Rhinolophus ferrumequinum: one gene and its partner. The protein of the gene in region 2 interacts with the protein of the main gene of each other region in a biochemical or structural test. Links are inferred from orthologs where the notes say so. Each region holds a gene or a part of one and is shown on either strand. Other genes may lie near its edges.

Region 1 (5,480 bases), on a different chromosome or scaffold from region 2:
CACGGGCATTCTCTCTTTGCCCAACCTTTAATAAAACTTCCTTTGCTCTCCTACTTTTATGAGTCTGAATTCTTTCACATTTTGCAAACAACCAGCGGTTAATTCCATGCCAGAACACTTTCCTGCCCTGACGGCAGGACCCTGCTCCATCCCTCCATCCCTGCTTCCCTTTCTCAGAAGCTCCCACTTCCAAACATCTGTCCCCCCTGCCCTGCCCATTCCCCCTCCTCCCGTTAACTTTGTCTCCCGTTCTAGCCTGCTCTTCGATGCAGCAGTACTACAAGTGGGATGCAGGTATAGTTCCCCTTTAGGTCAGGGACTGACAAGGGTTGAGGGCCAGGCTTTGCTTCATCGCCTCCACAGTGGTTCCTGAGCCTCAGCTGAGCACCCCCCAGCCTCCTCAGCGAAGAGGGAGTCTGGGGTCCTCTGAAGGGGCACAGCCGTGTAAACAGACATAGACACTTCTGGGTGTGAGGTGCAGCTCCTCAGAGGAGATGGAAGGAAGAGTGTTTATTAAACCTCTACTAGGTGGAAGGCCTAGTACTGGAGATCGCACGGAGATATCGTGAGGAAAAGGGCAAATGTGCTTCTGGATATTCATGGAGATCATATCCCAGTGGGGGCGACACGAAACCACAAAAAGTAAACAGATACACAAAAGAATACCCCACTGTGGTGAATGTTATGAAGAAAACAAACAAGGGGCTAAGAGAGAGGTTGGTGGGAGGTCACAGTGACAGGTCAGAGGAGGGGAATGAAGGAACACAGTGATCTCAGGAAGATGGAAGGAAATGAGGAGAGCTGGCAACGAATGGGCCTACAGGCCTGCTTTCCTAGGATTAGGGCAGTGAGAACCAGTCCGGCTGCTGGTCTCAGCCCCTGGCCCTTTCTGGCCTTCACTCATCGCTTGGCCCTCACCTCTGCACTCCCTTATTAGTTTAATGATTCACTTTCAACCTTTCCTAGCTTCCTGTGTGGGATGAGTGGGGTGGGGCAGAGCCCTGGGTCTCTGAGGGTGGCAGAAGGAATGGTTTCTCTAGTTCTCCTCTTTGTCCCATTCTGCTCTTGCCACAGAGAAAGGTCTCTCTGTGCCAGAAGGACAGTGAGGCTAACTAGGCCCAGCTGGAGGTCCTGATTCCAGATGTGGGAGGTAGTGGTGAGACAAGATCCTGACATCCTCCTTTTACTCCCCTCCCCTGCCTAATGGCCTGGGGAAATTTCCGTCATAAACAAGTATGCATTCTTCATCTGGGTGCCTCCCCCACCTTCCCCACCGAGCAGTTTTCTTCCATCATCACTCTCTCCCCCCACCTCCAATTTATGTCTGTTTGGGCATGTGGGCCCGTCCACACATGTAAGTAATCATGGATTTATGTTGGTCATTGTGTAGTGTGCAGGTTGCCTTGGAATAAGGGTGTAGGTGGGTGTGCAGGCTCACTGTGCTTGGGTGTAGGTGTAAGAATGATGGCGGCTTTGAAAGGCAGGTGTGGGAAAGGGATATGTCTTTGTTTGTAGAGGAGGTGTGTTTTATGCCTGTTAGGAAAAAGTGTGTAATGCTGAAGGGGTCCCATGTGTTTAGATGTAGTGGGTATACCGTGTTTCCCCAAAAATAAGACCTAGCCAGACCATCAGCTCTAATGCGTCTTTTGGAGCAAAAATTAATATAAGACCTGGTCTTATTTTAATATAAGACAGTGTATAATATAATATTAATTTTTGCTCCAAAAGACGCATTAGAGCTGATGGTCCGGCTAGGTCTAATTTTCGGGGAAACACAGTAAAATAAAGTGACATATAGGCCTATGAAGCAATTGTATATACAGCAATAATATATCAATTTCTAGCCCAATTGTGGGGCTGTCCCCTGGTTTGCACCCCCGCACAACCTTGGTTGAGAAATGCCCTTAGGTGTTCCTTGTTTGGGTCTGTGTAAGAATTGTCCCAGCTTTCTTAAGATGTTATAAATTTGAATGTTGGATTTGAAGAAATGTAGCCATGTCTCAAAAGCTTGGGGTGACCCTGCCAGTGTGTGCATTTTCCGTTTTGCATTTTCACCTTTCATTTATCAAGATTACTGAGTAACTGGTACACACAAGGCCCCGTGCTAGGTTCTACGGCGGACACAAGGACACAAAGACATGTGTGACACAGTCTCTAATGAAGGGTTCATGCATGTGCTCACTGTGTGTGTCAGGCATAGTACCATCCAATGTAAAGATCTGAGCCCGAGGCATTTCACATCTCCGGAGTCAGCTTTGCTGCCTTCATTCTCTGCTGTCAGCACCCCCTCTCCATGCTCCCTGACTCTACTGAAACCCATCCTATTGTTAAATTCTAGTGATCTCACACTGGGAATGTCAGGTAGCGCCACCCCCGCCACCCCCTGGTCTGGGTCCCTCAGCCACAGCCTGGTAGGGCCCTGTTACCTCCCGCTGCACCTCTGTAATAGCTTCCTGCCCCTGCCTCAATGTCTCTCCATCCAGGGCACGCTCATTGTCCCTCTCAGCTCCCAGCTTGAAGTGCCCTGTTGTCATCCCGTGCCCATCTAGTCCATCTAGTCACATCCAGATTCCTGGCCTGGCAGCTAAGCTCTCCCCACTTTGCCCAAATCCTTCCCAGTCCTCATGACTTCCCACTACTCCTTTACTGGGAACTTAGTCCAGGACTGTTTTCTTTGTGATTCCCCACACACATGCTGTACTTTTCCAGCTCAAGGCCTTTGCTGATTCCATTCTCTTTCTCACAGTCATCCTCTACATCTGATTCTGTGGTTTCCCACCCACTGCTCAAGGTCATCTCACATCCACTCTTCCATGCAGCCTCACCTCATTCATTAGTGAACACTAGCTTTTCTGAGTCCCCCTAATACTGTCTTCCATTTCCTTAGGACCCTCAAGGAGTTCTGGTCAGGCCCACTCCTGAGGTGCCCTCAGCAGCACGCACGCAGAAACCGACCTCGGTACCTCCAACAGTACCTTTAACAGGGCGCCTTGCACTGTGAATGCCCAAAAGATGATAAATTCTGTCCATGAGCAACTGAGTTACGAAAATGTGTAAATTCAGTCATAAGTTGAGTTATTATCATTACCACAACATTTGCATAACGCCTCACAATTTAAAATGCTCTTCAGATGAATTTTGTTATTTGATCCAAATAACAAGAGGCAAATCTTGGTGACTGCTAACCTCCTGCCTTCATATTTTGTGGTCCTCTGTCCCAGCTTTGTATGAACACCCAAGTGGGTAACTTCTTTGGGTTGTCCTTTGCTGTGTGTGTGTGTGTGATGTGCATGTTGTACAATATGCCACCCCAAAATGTGCCACTTTGGTATGTGGATTGACGTGAAGGCAATCGACACCCAGCAGACTCAGGAAAAGCTATTCACTTCTCCCGTAACTGCCTAAAAGAATTTATTAGGGGCCTGTACCAGGAAGAAAGCTATTACCAGAGCACTTCTTTATCTGAAAGACTCTGGGGCTGGGCAGGCCAAACATGTGCTCTTCTTGTCTTCCTGTGATCTGCCGTCCTCCCTGTGAACCCCAGACCCCCACCCCATTCCTTAGCCCCCATTCATTAGGATGGCATAGGAGCCTCAGCTGCCTATCATTGAGTCTGGTCTTCCTGGACTCCTGTGAGTAGGTAATGAAATTTGTTTTCATCCTGTTAATGTCTTATGTCAATTTAATTATTAGACCAACTGAAAAATCTAGAAGGGAAGAAGGGAAAATTTTTCCACCCCTACAATGTGCTGTATGTGTGAATGTTTGTATGTGTGTTTTCCTGTGTTCTAAGACAGGCAGGGTTGGATCTGCGTGTGCAATTGTGTTCATTTTTCTTCTGCTGCTTGACTATTTCTGTCACGACTTTCCTCTTGGGGTGTGGTTCTCTATGTGTATCTACAGGTGTGTGAATGTACCTGTGTAACTGTGGTTCGTTGATTTGGCTGGCTCAGTATTGTAGCAGGATGGCCAGACTTCCTTATGGAAACCCTGCTGCCTTCCCGGAGATGGGCCTGTGACTGAACCTCTCCTAAACTGTGCGTGGGCCGCTCTCCAGCTGCCACATGTCCCGACATGTGCATGCAGCCCGGGATTTCACCCACCCCCACTCACAAGTCACACACTCACAACACACACTTGGGCACCCAGGGTTAACAGGCCAAGTCTCCACCCCCTCCCTTTGCTTAATCGTCGGAATTTCCAGCCGGCGCCGGCCTGCCTACAGCTCTCCGCCGGGGTGGAGTTGAGAAGGGCCCGCCCAATTATTAGGCACACTTAACTAGCTCAGCTTGGCTGCGGGTCCGCACTCGTCCTTCTGCTCTGCTCAGCGCACTATGTGTCACTCTCGCAGCTCCCTTCCCACCATGACAGTCCTGCGGGCCCCGACCCCGGTACCCTCCACCAGCCCGGGACCCCGGAGGGGCTCCGGTCCTGAGATCTTCACCTTCGATCCTCTCCCGGAGCCTACAGTGGCCTCCGCCGCGCGCCCCAGCGTCTCCCGCGGGCACCGAAAGCGCAGTCGTAGGGTCCTCTACCCGCGAGTGGTGAGTGTCGCTGAAGTGTCGCTGGAGGGAGCGTCGGGGTGGGGGAACGACCAGACTTTGGGACCCTGAGCTGACCTGTTCCCTTTGTTGTCTCCCCTCAGGTCCGGCGCCAGCTGCCCGCCGAGGATCCGAACCCTGCCAAAAGGCTCCTGTTTCTCCTGCTCACCGTCGTCTTCTGCCAGATCCTGATGGCTGAAGAAGGTGTGCCGGCGCCCCTACCCCGGGAGGACGCCCCCAGCGCCGCGCCCCTGGAGCCCACCCCTGCGCCCCCGGCTCTGGAGCCCCTTAATCTGACCGCGGAGCCCTCGGACTACGCTCTGGATCTCAGCACTTTCCTCCAGCAACACCCAGCCGCCTTCTAAACGTGACTCCCCACATCCCCTAAGAAACACCAGCTGTATCTGGTGCGCGAGAGCGTATCCCAAACTGGGACTCCCGAGGCAATTCGCACTCAACACTACAGGGGAGCCGCCACCCCGCACCAGGATGGGTCACGCGCGGACCTGCGGAGGCCGGGCCGGGCAGGGAAGGAGGGGGAGAGCGGCGTTAATTTATTTCTCATTGCTCCTGATATTTATATGTATTTATGTATGTCCCCTAAGTGATAGAGGGGTGTATGTAATATTTATTTTAACTTATGCGAGGGTGCGAGACGTGCACCCCGCTGCAAATGCAGGTCTCTTGGTATTTATTGAGCTTGGTGGGATTGGTGGAGGCGCCTAGACCGAGGGAGATGGAGACGGGGCCTGGAGGGCGCCCCGCAGGGAGTTAAGGACGGTGGTGGGTCGTAGGTTTAGGGGGTGACACTGTCCTCCAGCATCTCAACCCCCTGGGTCTATTGTGTGAAGCTTCGGTGGACCGTTGGGAATAAAGTCCTTGGCCTTCGATCTCTTCGAAGTTGCCCCTAAAGGGTGGCTACGGGGTGCGAGGCGGGGG
Region 2 (7,833 bases):
TATAAAATTATACTATTTTTTAAAAATAACTTTTATCTTTATTGATGTAAAACAAGACCTAGTGCCTTGCTTTTTTACCTTCTTTCTCCCTCTTTGGTTTTCATTGCATTAATCTGAGGTTAAAAGCCCTTCTATTTTAAAAATGCCTCTTTCAATTTTTTTCTTTTGCATTTTATTTGTTACCATAGCAACAATTATTTCAACTTATCAGCATCAAACAGGCTATACCGAGTTGTGTTTTTATTCAGTTACCTCTCTGTCTTTCGCTAGTTGCAAGGCTCATTGTCAGTTCTTTTCTCATTTCATCATTCATGAGTTTCTGATTCATATCTTGGTGATGTATTGTACAATTCTGAGTAATTTTTCCAGAAAAGGGAGTTAATTGGGTAGTGTATTAGTCAGAAACTCTGTGGTTTCAAGTGATAAGAATCTAACTCAAATTGACTTCAGTAAAAATAGAGAATACATTGACTCATGAACCTATAAAGTCCAGGCTCAGCTGAGAACAGCCTCAAACTATGTCCCCAAATCTGAATTCTGCTTTTCCTTCTCACCTACATTCTCAGAGAGAATTTCTCACTTCGTAGCATGTTTGACTCCAGACACGTACTCACTGCCCTAGCACCCCAACAGAAAGGGAGCACCCCCTTCCCAATTGTTTCTTTATTTTTATTTATTTATTTTTTTATTGGGGAAGGGGAACAGGACTTTATTGGGGAACAGTGTGTACTTCCAGGCCTGTTTTCCAAGTCAAGTTGTTGTCCTTTCAATCTTAGTTGTGGAGGGTGCCATTCCGCTTCAAGTTGTTGTCCTTTCAGTCTTAGTTGTGGAGGGCGCAGCTCAGCTCCAGGTCCAGTTGCCGTTGCTAGTTGCAGGGGGCACAGCCCACCATCCCTTGCGGGAGTCGAACCGGCAACCTTGTGGTTGAGAGGACGCACTCCAACCAACTGAGCCATCCGGGAGCTCAGCGGCAGCTCAGCTCAAGGTGCCGTGTTCAATCTTAGTTGCAGGGAACGGAGCCCACCATCCCTTGCGGGACTTGAGGAATTGAACTGGCAACCTTGTGGTTGAGAGCCCACTGGCCCATGTGGGAATCGAACCGGCAGCCTTCGGAGTTAGGAGCATGGAGCTCTAACTGCCTGAGCCACCGGGCCGTCCCCCCAATTGTTTCTTAAAAAGACTGAGTGTCATTGTCCTGGATCAGGTCACACATGCATCCTTTGAACTAATATCTGTGACTCTGATTGGGGAGCCCTGGGTCACATGCTTGCTCACAAGAGTGCAGAAGAGACAGAAGACAGTTCACCAACAGAAAATTTGGTTGTGCTACCAGAAGGAGGAGTTGATGCTGGACAGGCAAAAGTAAGAGATGGCCATTGTTTTCTAAAATCTGTGAATTGTTACCACTCTAGAGAGACAATAAGGAAGACATTCAGGTGGCCAGCTAGCCATCTGACTAGGGTCTTATGCTTTGATAGTAGTTTAGTTTTATTTCAGTGAGTCTAGTTCTCAGCTTTGTGCTTCCAGAAGTTTGTTATTGTCACTGAGGCTAGATAACCTTTCCCTCTGGGCCTGTATCATGCTGATCTGACTCAGTAGAGACTGATGTATAAGTAAATCCCATCTTAGAATGAATAGTAATCTCCAGAGGACCTGAATAGTGCTGTCCTCTGGTCAGTGCACTTTCCCTGTCAGAAAACCACATGCAAAGCTAAACTCTAATTATAAGGTTGCATGGAGCCAGGCAAGAGAAGTTCTCCGGAGAAAATTAGTGATCAGGTGCATCATGCCATGATAGTGTGGTGGCTTTAAAAAGTCCACAAACGCTGGAAGGGTGGAGGGAGATTAGTATGGAACATGGAAGGCAGAGTAAAAGGAGTTGGGGTGGAGGGATGGTCGGCATAGACCTCAGTCTGAGTGCAGTGGGGAGCCACTGACTTGCTTTAAGAAGGGGAGTGACATGGTCAATTTTGTTATGGAAAGACTACCTGGGTATGAGGAGAAGCCATTGGAGATGGGCAACACTGAAGGCAGAAGAGTCAAGGTGAATGGCAGTGGGAATAAAGTGCATACATTTAAAACAGTGCTTTTCAAAGTTTAATATGCGTACGAACCACCTGGATCTTGTTAAAATGCAGATCCTGATCCAGTAGGTCTGAAGAGGGACCTGAGATGCTGCTGGTCTGGAGACCATGTTTTGAGTAGTGACTATTTCAGAAATATTAAAGAAATAGAATTTACAGGAGTCTGTGATTGTTTGGATGGGGGGAAGGGATGAGAGGGAGGTAAAATGAGTTGTTAAGGATCATACCCAAACTTCCAATTTGAGTATCTGGGTGAAGATGATGCTATCCACAGATACAAGATGAAGAACAGGTTTGGTGGGGTAGATAATAATAACATAACATGTATTGGATACTTACTATGTGCCAGGCTCTTTATGTATACTGTTTTATTTAGTCTGTACAACAAATTTATGAGGTTAATACTATTGTGATTTTCATTTGAAGAGTGAGGAAACTGAGGCCAAGGTCACACAGGTAGTATGTGGAGCAGCCAAGACTCAAACCCTCTGGAAGTGTGAGTGCAGAATGCGTGCAGTTAACCATTGGCAGTTTGGATATGCGGAATTGAAGCACCTGTGGGATGTCATGTGGTCTGTCCAGAGGGACATGCTGACCTGGAATTCAGGAGAGATATTCTGAGTAATGGTTAAAGATCTGGGAGGAATTAAAGCATTGGAGGGAATGAAACCATCCATGGAGGTTTCTAACCTACCCCCTCAGAGTGCTATTAATCTTATTCCATTTTCCTTTGGGCATTTAATTATTACAGAGGAGGAGTCTGAAGACAACTAGTTTTTAGCTTTTTTGTAAATAATCTTTTCCCCCCCTCTGATTGGATTCTCTTACTGCTTGTTCTTTACCCCTGAAATTTAAGAATTTTTCCAGATTTCCAGATTATGTCTTAAAGTTGGTTTCTGCTGATTAATTTTTCTGGATCCCAGTAAACTCACTCAATTTTTTACCTATACCTCAGATCTTTTTACACCTAAGGCAAGTTTTCTTTTATTATAACTTTAATTATTGATTTGTTATGTCTTCTTTTGGGGGATGCCTATAGTTTGAATCTCCATGATATTCTTGTATCCATTTTCTTCTCTCTTACAGAATTCCATCACTTTGAATATTTCTTGTGTTTATATTCAATATTGTTGATTTGTTCTTCTGTATTGTCAAATCTGCTCTTTACTGCTTTGACCAATGAATTTTACTTTGGTTATTGTGGTTTTAGTTTCATATTACTCTCCATTTATCTTGGCCTGTTTTTAAAAGATGCAATGTCCTCTTGAAACAGAGAATAAGAATTAGGTGTTTTCTAAAATTGAATTCTGCTTCATGAACTAAATATATTTCAAAGTACTAATTTTTGGCTCTAGCACTTTCTTTTCTCATGTGCCACATATGTTTTTTCCCACAGGGCTTTTCTAAAAAGTTGCTCATTCACCTTTGAGATAGATTAGTTGATCTTTGCTGATGTCTGGAAGTCCAGCATTGACGGCTTTCAAGACCACAGTGTTGGACAATCAGGATGCAAGGTCTTCCACCCTTACTCTGTTCAAAGATAGTATAGGAAATGGTTCAGAAGCAGTGGCTGGATCATTTTGTCTCGTCTTAGCGATTCTTGGCTTTCAACTGCTTCAGGATTCCAGTTTTTATTTTTCAACCTATGTTGTTTGTGACTATTTTTTAGCCTCAGTGTGTATGTCTCATTTTCCCTAGTTCTTGATGCTTGGGTTTAGCGTTTCCATCTTTGTATTTATCAGTATGTCCTCTAAGTTTCTGTCCCTCTGTACCAATCTAGGTCTCACTCTCTGAATCTCTGTGTCTTTCTCTAAGCGTCTCAACCTACTTCAGCAGGTCCTCAAATAACATGGATTGGCCACGGTAGGAACTTAACTCTTGTTTATATCAATTATCCTATAGTAAAATTTGTTTCCTTATAGCACCCTTTACTTAACATCTCAGACCTTTACCACACAACTTGAGTAATTAGTGTATATATATATATATATATATATATATATACATATATATGTAAATGTGTCCATCTTCTCCCTCTAGAATGTAACTTGTATGGGGGTGGATGCCCAGGAACTTGGTAGGTACCCAACGAACACTTGTTGAGCGATCCTCTCTGTCTGATTAGCGGATCCTGCCACCTTTGTGTTTCATACTTTCTCAGTATGCAAATGTCTTTCTCGGTCCCGGTCATGCCTTTTGGTTTCTGTCCTGGTCTCAAGGTCTCTAAGTTTGTGTGTGGGCCACAGACTAGCACAGGCCGGGCCCAGGCCTGCAGCCGGTGTGTGGCGGGTCGTTGTCCCTCACACGCTGCCCTGGGTCGCTCTTAGGCTTAATCCGGACCCCGGTCCGGGTTTTCCCCTGCCCGTCTCTTAGGATCACCCCTTTGGGTTCTCTCCCAACAACTCGGATACCTCCAGCCTCTCAAGAGCCACTTTCTGCGCAGAACTCCCTCCCCCCCGACCGCCACAATAGCACGTGACCACGTACGGCAGTACCGCGGGCGCCGCGGCTGGCTCAGCCGCGGAGCTCCGCCCTGAGCTCGCCGCTTCCTTCGGCCCGCGCAGCCACGCCCCTAGGCCGCGGAGAGCTAATCCTCGCGCACGCTGCTTGGCCCCGCCCGGCGCCCTCCTCGGCGCGCGCCCCTCCCTCCGCCCGCCGGCCCGCCCGTCAGTCAGTCAGGCAATCAGTCGTTCTGGGTTGCTGTGGGTTCTCCAGGTCTTCGGAGCGGTTCCCTCCTTGCTCCTTCCCGGTCAGCAGCAGCAGCTGCACCAGCTGCGGCGCGGTCCCTCCGGGAGGCGCGGCGTAGGTCGAGCGGCGGCTGCGGAGCGTCGAGCTCAGCCCAGCGCGGCGGAGGCGGCTGCGGCGGCCCGGCAGCCAACATGGCGGCGGCGGCGGCGGCGGGCGCGGGCCCGGAGATGGTCCGCGGGCAGGTGTTCGACGTGGGGCCGCGCTACACCAATCTCTCGTACATCGGCGAGGGCGCCTACGGCATGGTGTGGTGAGTGTCCGCGCCCGCCCGCAGGCCTGGCCGCGCCTGCCCACCCCATCTTTCGGGGCCGCAGGGGACGCAACCGCGGCCTCGTCCGCGCCTGGGCCTCCCGCGCCGCCGCGCCCCCAACCTTGGGCTTCGCTGCGGCCCGCGCCCCTGGGGCTTCGGGCGGGGCCCTGGGGCCGGTGGAGGTTTGGGTGTTGCTCGCGGCATTTCGCGGGCTGGCCCTCGCTCGCCGTCGGGAGGGGCGCGGGGGGCGGAGGCCAGGATCCCGGGTGTTGCGGGCTCCGGCGCAGCGCGGATTTTGAGTCAGGACCCCCAGGAAGGGAACAGAAGCGCCTCCCCCACATTCCCCCTAATGCCAGCATGGTGGTCTTCTTTTTGACATCCGATTGTAAAGCCGGGAATTCCTTTAGATGCTTGTGGGTCGGTGGTGGTGGCGGCCGGGATCGTGAAAGCGGTTCGCCTCGTCTTGTGTGTAGAACACCGAAATGGATCTATTTTCCTTCTCTCGCCTGTGTTTTCCTCGAACGGCTTTCATTAAATATTTTCAGTGGTACTAATGGTGCTCTAATGCGCAGGCTTTCTAAAAAGCATTAGTGGCACCAGTGTTGTGTAATATTTCAATCTTGAAGTTTTTAAATGGATTTTAATATCGTGCTGTTTGTGTTTCTGGAAGGATAAGCCAACAACGTTTTCCTGATTTATTAAAGAGTCGTTTGGAATTGGGCCTAATTTGACTCTCTTTCTTTACCCCGAGTGAGCTCTCTTACCAGCATAAATACATCCACACGTTAAAGAACAATTACTGTGGTCTTTTTCAGTTAATGTTTTAGTGGTTAGTATATATGCAGCCTTAATGGAGGTCTTGCAGTGTTACGTGCAGGGTTCCTCATCTTAATCTATATCCCTTGGAAACGGGGAACGCGGGTGACGATATTATTTTTATTAGAACCAACTAGCTAGTGTTTTATGCTGATGGAGACATGTGGGAGTGTAGATTCCCTTACACCTAAATCTTCTTGTGACTTGTCTTTTATGTTGAATGAAGGAAGCAAACACATTTATTGAACACTAAGTGGCAGGTACTTTGTTAGGTACATTATCTCATTTTATTTGAAGAGCCACCTTGAGGGAGGAAAAGGTGGTGATATCTGTCTTTCAGGTGAGAAAGTATTTCGAGGTGAAGCGAATTTCTAAGGTCATACAATTAAAGAGTCACACTTGAGAGTGTAGACTGAGATCCTAATTCAAATGCTGTAGCTCTTTCCATTACATCTTGCTATCCTTAAATAGTGTTACTACCATTTCCCTGAAAATAAGACCTAGCCGGACAGTCAGCTCTGTAAGTCCCGGTCTTATTTTACTGTAAGACCGGGTCTTATATTAATTTTTGCTCCAAAAGACACATTAGAGCTGATTGTCTGGCTAGGTCTTATTTTTGGAGAAACACGGTATTAGTTTTAGAATTTGAGCATATTTTGTTATGAGCAAATCTATTTCAGAAACACATTCAAATTTGAATTATCATAATTTTAGAAACATAGAGGGCATAGTTTACCAAATATGTTAGCTAGATAAAAAGACCAGTTAAAATTGTGTTTTTAAAGAAAGACTACTTGAATCTTGAGTATTCTCATTCTGTTCAGGAGCAAAATGCTGCACGGTATACAACTATGAAAATGAACGTGAACTCAGAGGCTTATGAGCCAATAGAGAAATTAAATTAGGTCAGGCCTAAAAGAAAGAAAAGCCTTAGGAAGTAACGGAGAAACAATACTGCCCACAACATCACTTCTCTGTCATACATCTGATTGCTGTTGCACCTGCTGGTTAAGTATGCCAGTAAACATGTCTCACTATAAGAGGCTCAGAATTGCCCATCACATCCTTCGGCCCTTTTTAAAAAATTAGCATCCAAAATATGGACTGAAGGGCTGGCCCGGTGGCTCAGGCGGTTGGAGCTGCATGCTCCTAACTCCAAAGGCTGCCGGTTCTATTCCCACATGGGCCAGTGGGCTCTTGACCACAAGGTTGCTGGTTCAACTCCTTGAGTCCCACAAAGGATGGTGGGCTCCGCCCCCTGCAACTAAGATTGAACACTGGCACCTTGAGCTGAGCTGCCTCACAGATGGCTCAGTTGGTTGGAGCACGGGCTCTCAACCACAAGGTTGCCAATCGACTCCCGCAAGGGATGGTGGGCTGAGCTGCGCCCTCCACAACTAAGACGGAAAGGACAACAACTTGAAGCTGAACGGCACCCTCCACAACTTGGGGAAAAAAAGTCCTGGAAGTACACACTGTTCCCCAATAGTCCTGTTCCCCTTCCCCAATAAAATCTTAAGAAATATGGACTGAAAAAATCTTAGGATATTTCATTGAAAGGATTTTTTCCCCTTTCTGATAGGATTTTTACTAGTCTGAAGATGATTTTAGGTGTGGTAACTTTTCTATCACTGCTGTAGACTTGTTTGACCTTCTAAATCTCTTATCAGGCCTAGTCCTCTTACTGTGATTTTCCTTTCCTGAATAAAATACAAATACAATTGGAATTAGAATTCTGGGTCCAGATTATAGCTTTTGATTTCATGTTGATGATATACGCTAGTAAGTAGTTAATCTACATTGCACATTATTAGCATTTAATAAATATTGATTAATAGTGCGGGGTTTATTGAGGGCTTCTTGATTAAAATGTTAATATTTGAATATCAATATTTTAAAAAGTGTAATGCTTCCAGAAGGATTTAAGGATTTTCT

What was found. The genes of interacting proteins can lie anywhere in the genome.
Region 1: of the proteins of MAPK1 (region 2) and IER3, one has a biochemical effect on the other in vitro, tested with the Homo sapiens proteins (2 studies listed by BioGRID and IntAct). The link is inferred for Rhinolophus ferrumequinum from reciprocal best matches to the Homo sapiens genes MAPK1 and IER3.

Annotation. Positions count from the first base shown.
Region 1 is NC_046286.1:1,332,707-1,338,186, reverse strand, and holds IER3 (radiation-inducible immediate-early gene IEX-1), read left to right. Parts: upstream 1-4,258; 5' UTR 4,259-4,334; coding exon 4,335-4,544; intron 4,545-4,645; coding exon 4,646-4,906; 3' UTR 4,907-4,933; downstream 4,934-5,480. UniProt on the Homo sapiens protein: May play a role in the ERK signaling pathway by inhibiting the dephosphorylation of ERK by phosphatase PP2A-PPP2R5C holoenzyme. Also acts as an ERK downstream effector mediating survival.
Region 2 is NC_046308.1:22,850,737-22,858,569, forward strand, and holds the start of MAPK1 (mitogen-activated protein kinase 1), read left to right. Parts: upstream 1-4,728; 5' UTR 4,729-4,963; coding exon 4,964-5,082; intron 5,083-7,833. UniProt on the Homo sapiens protein: Serine/threonine kinase which acts as an essential component of the MAP kinase signal transduction pathway. MAPK1/ERK2 and MAPK3/ERK1 are the 2 MAPKs which play an important role in the MAPK/ERK cascade.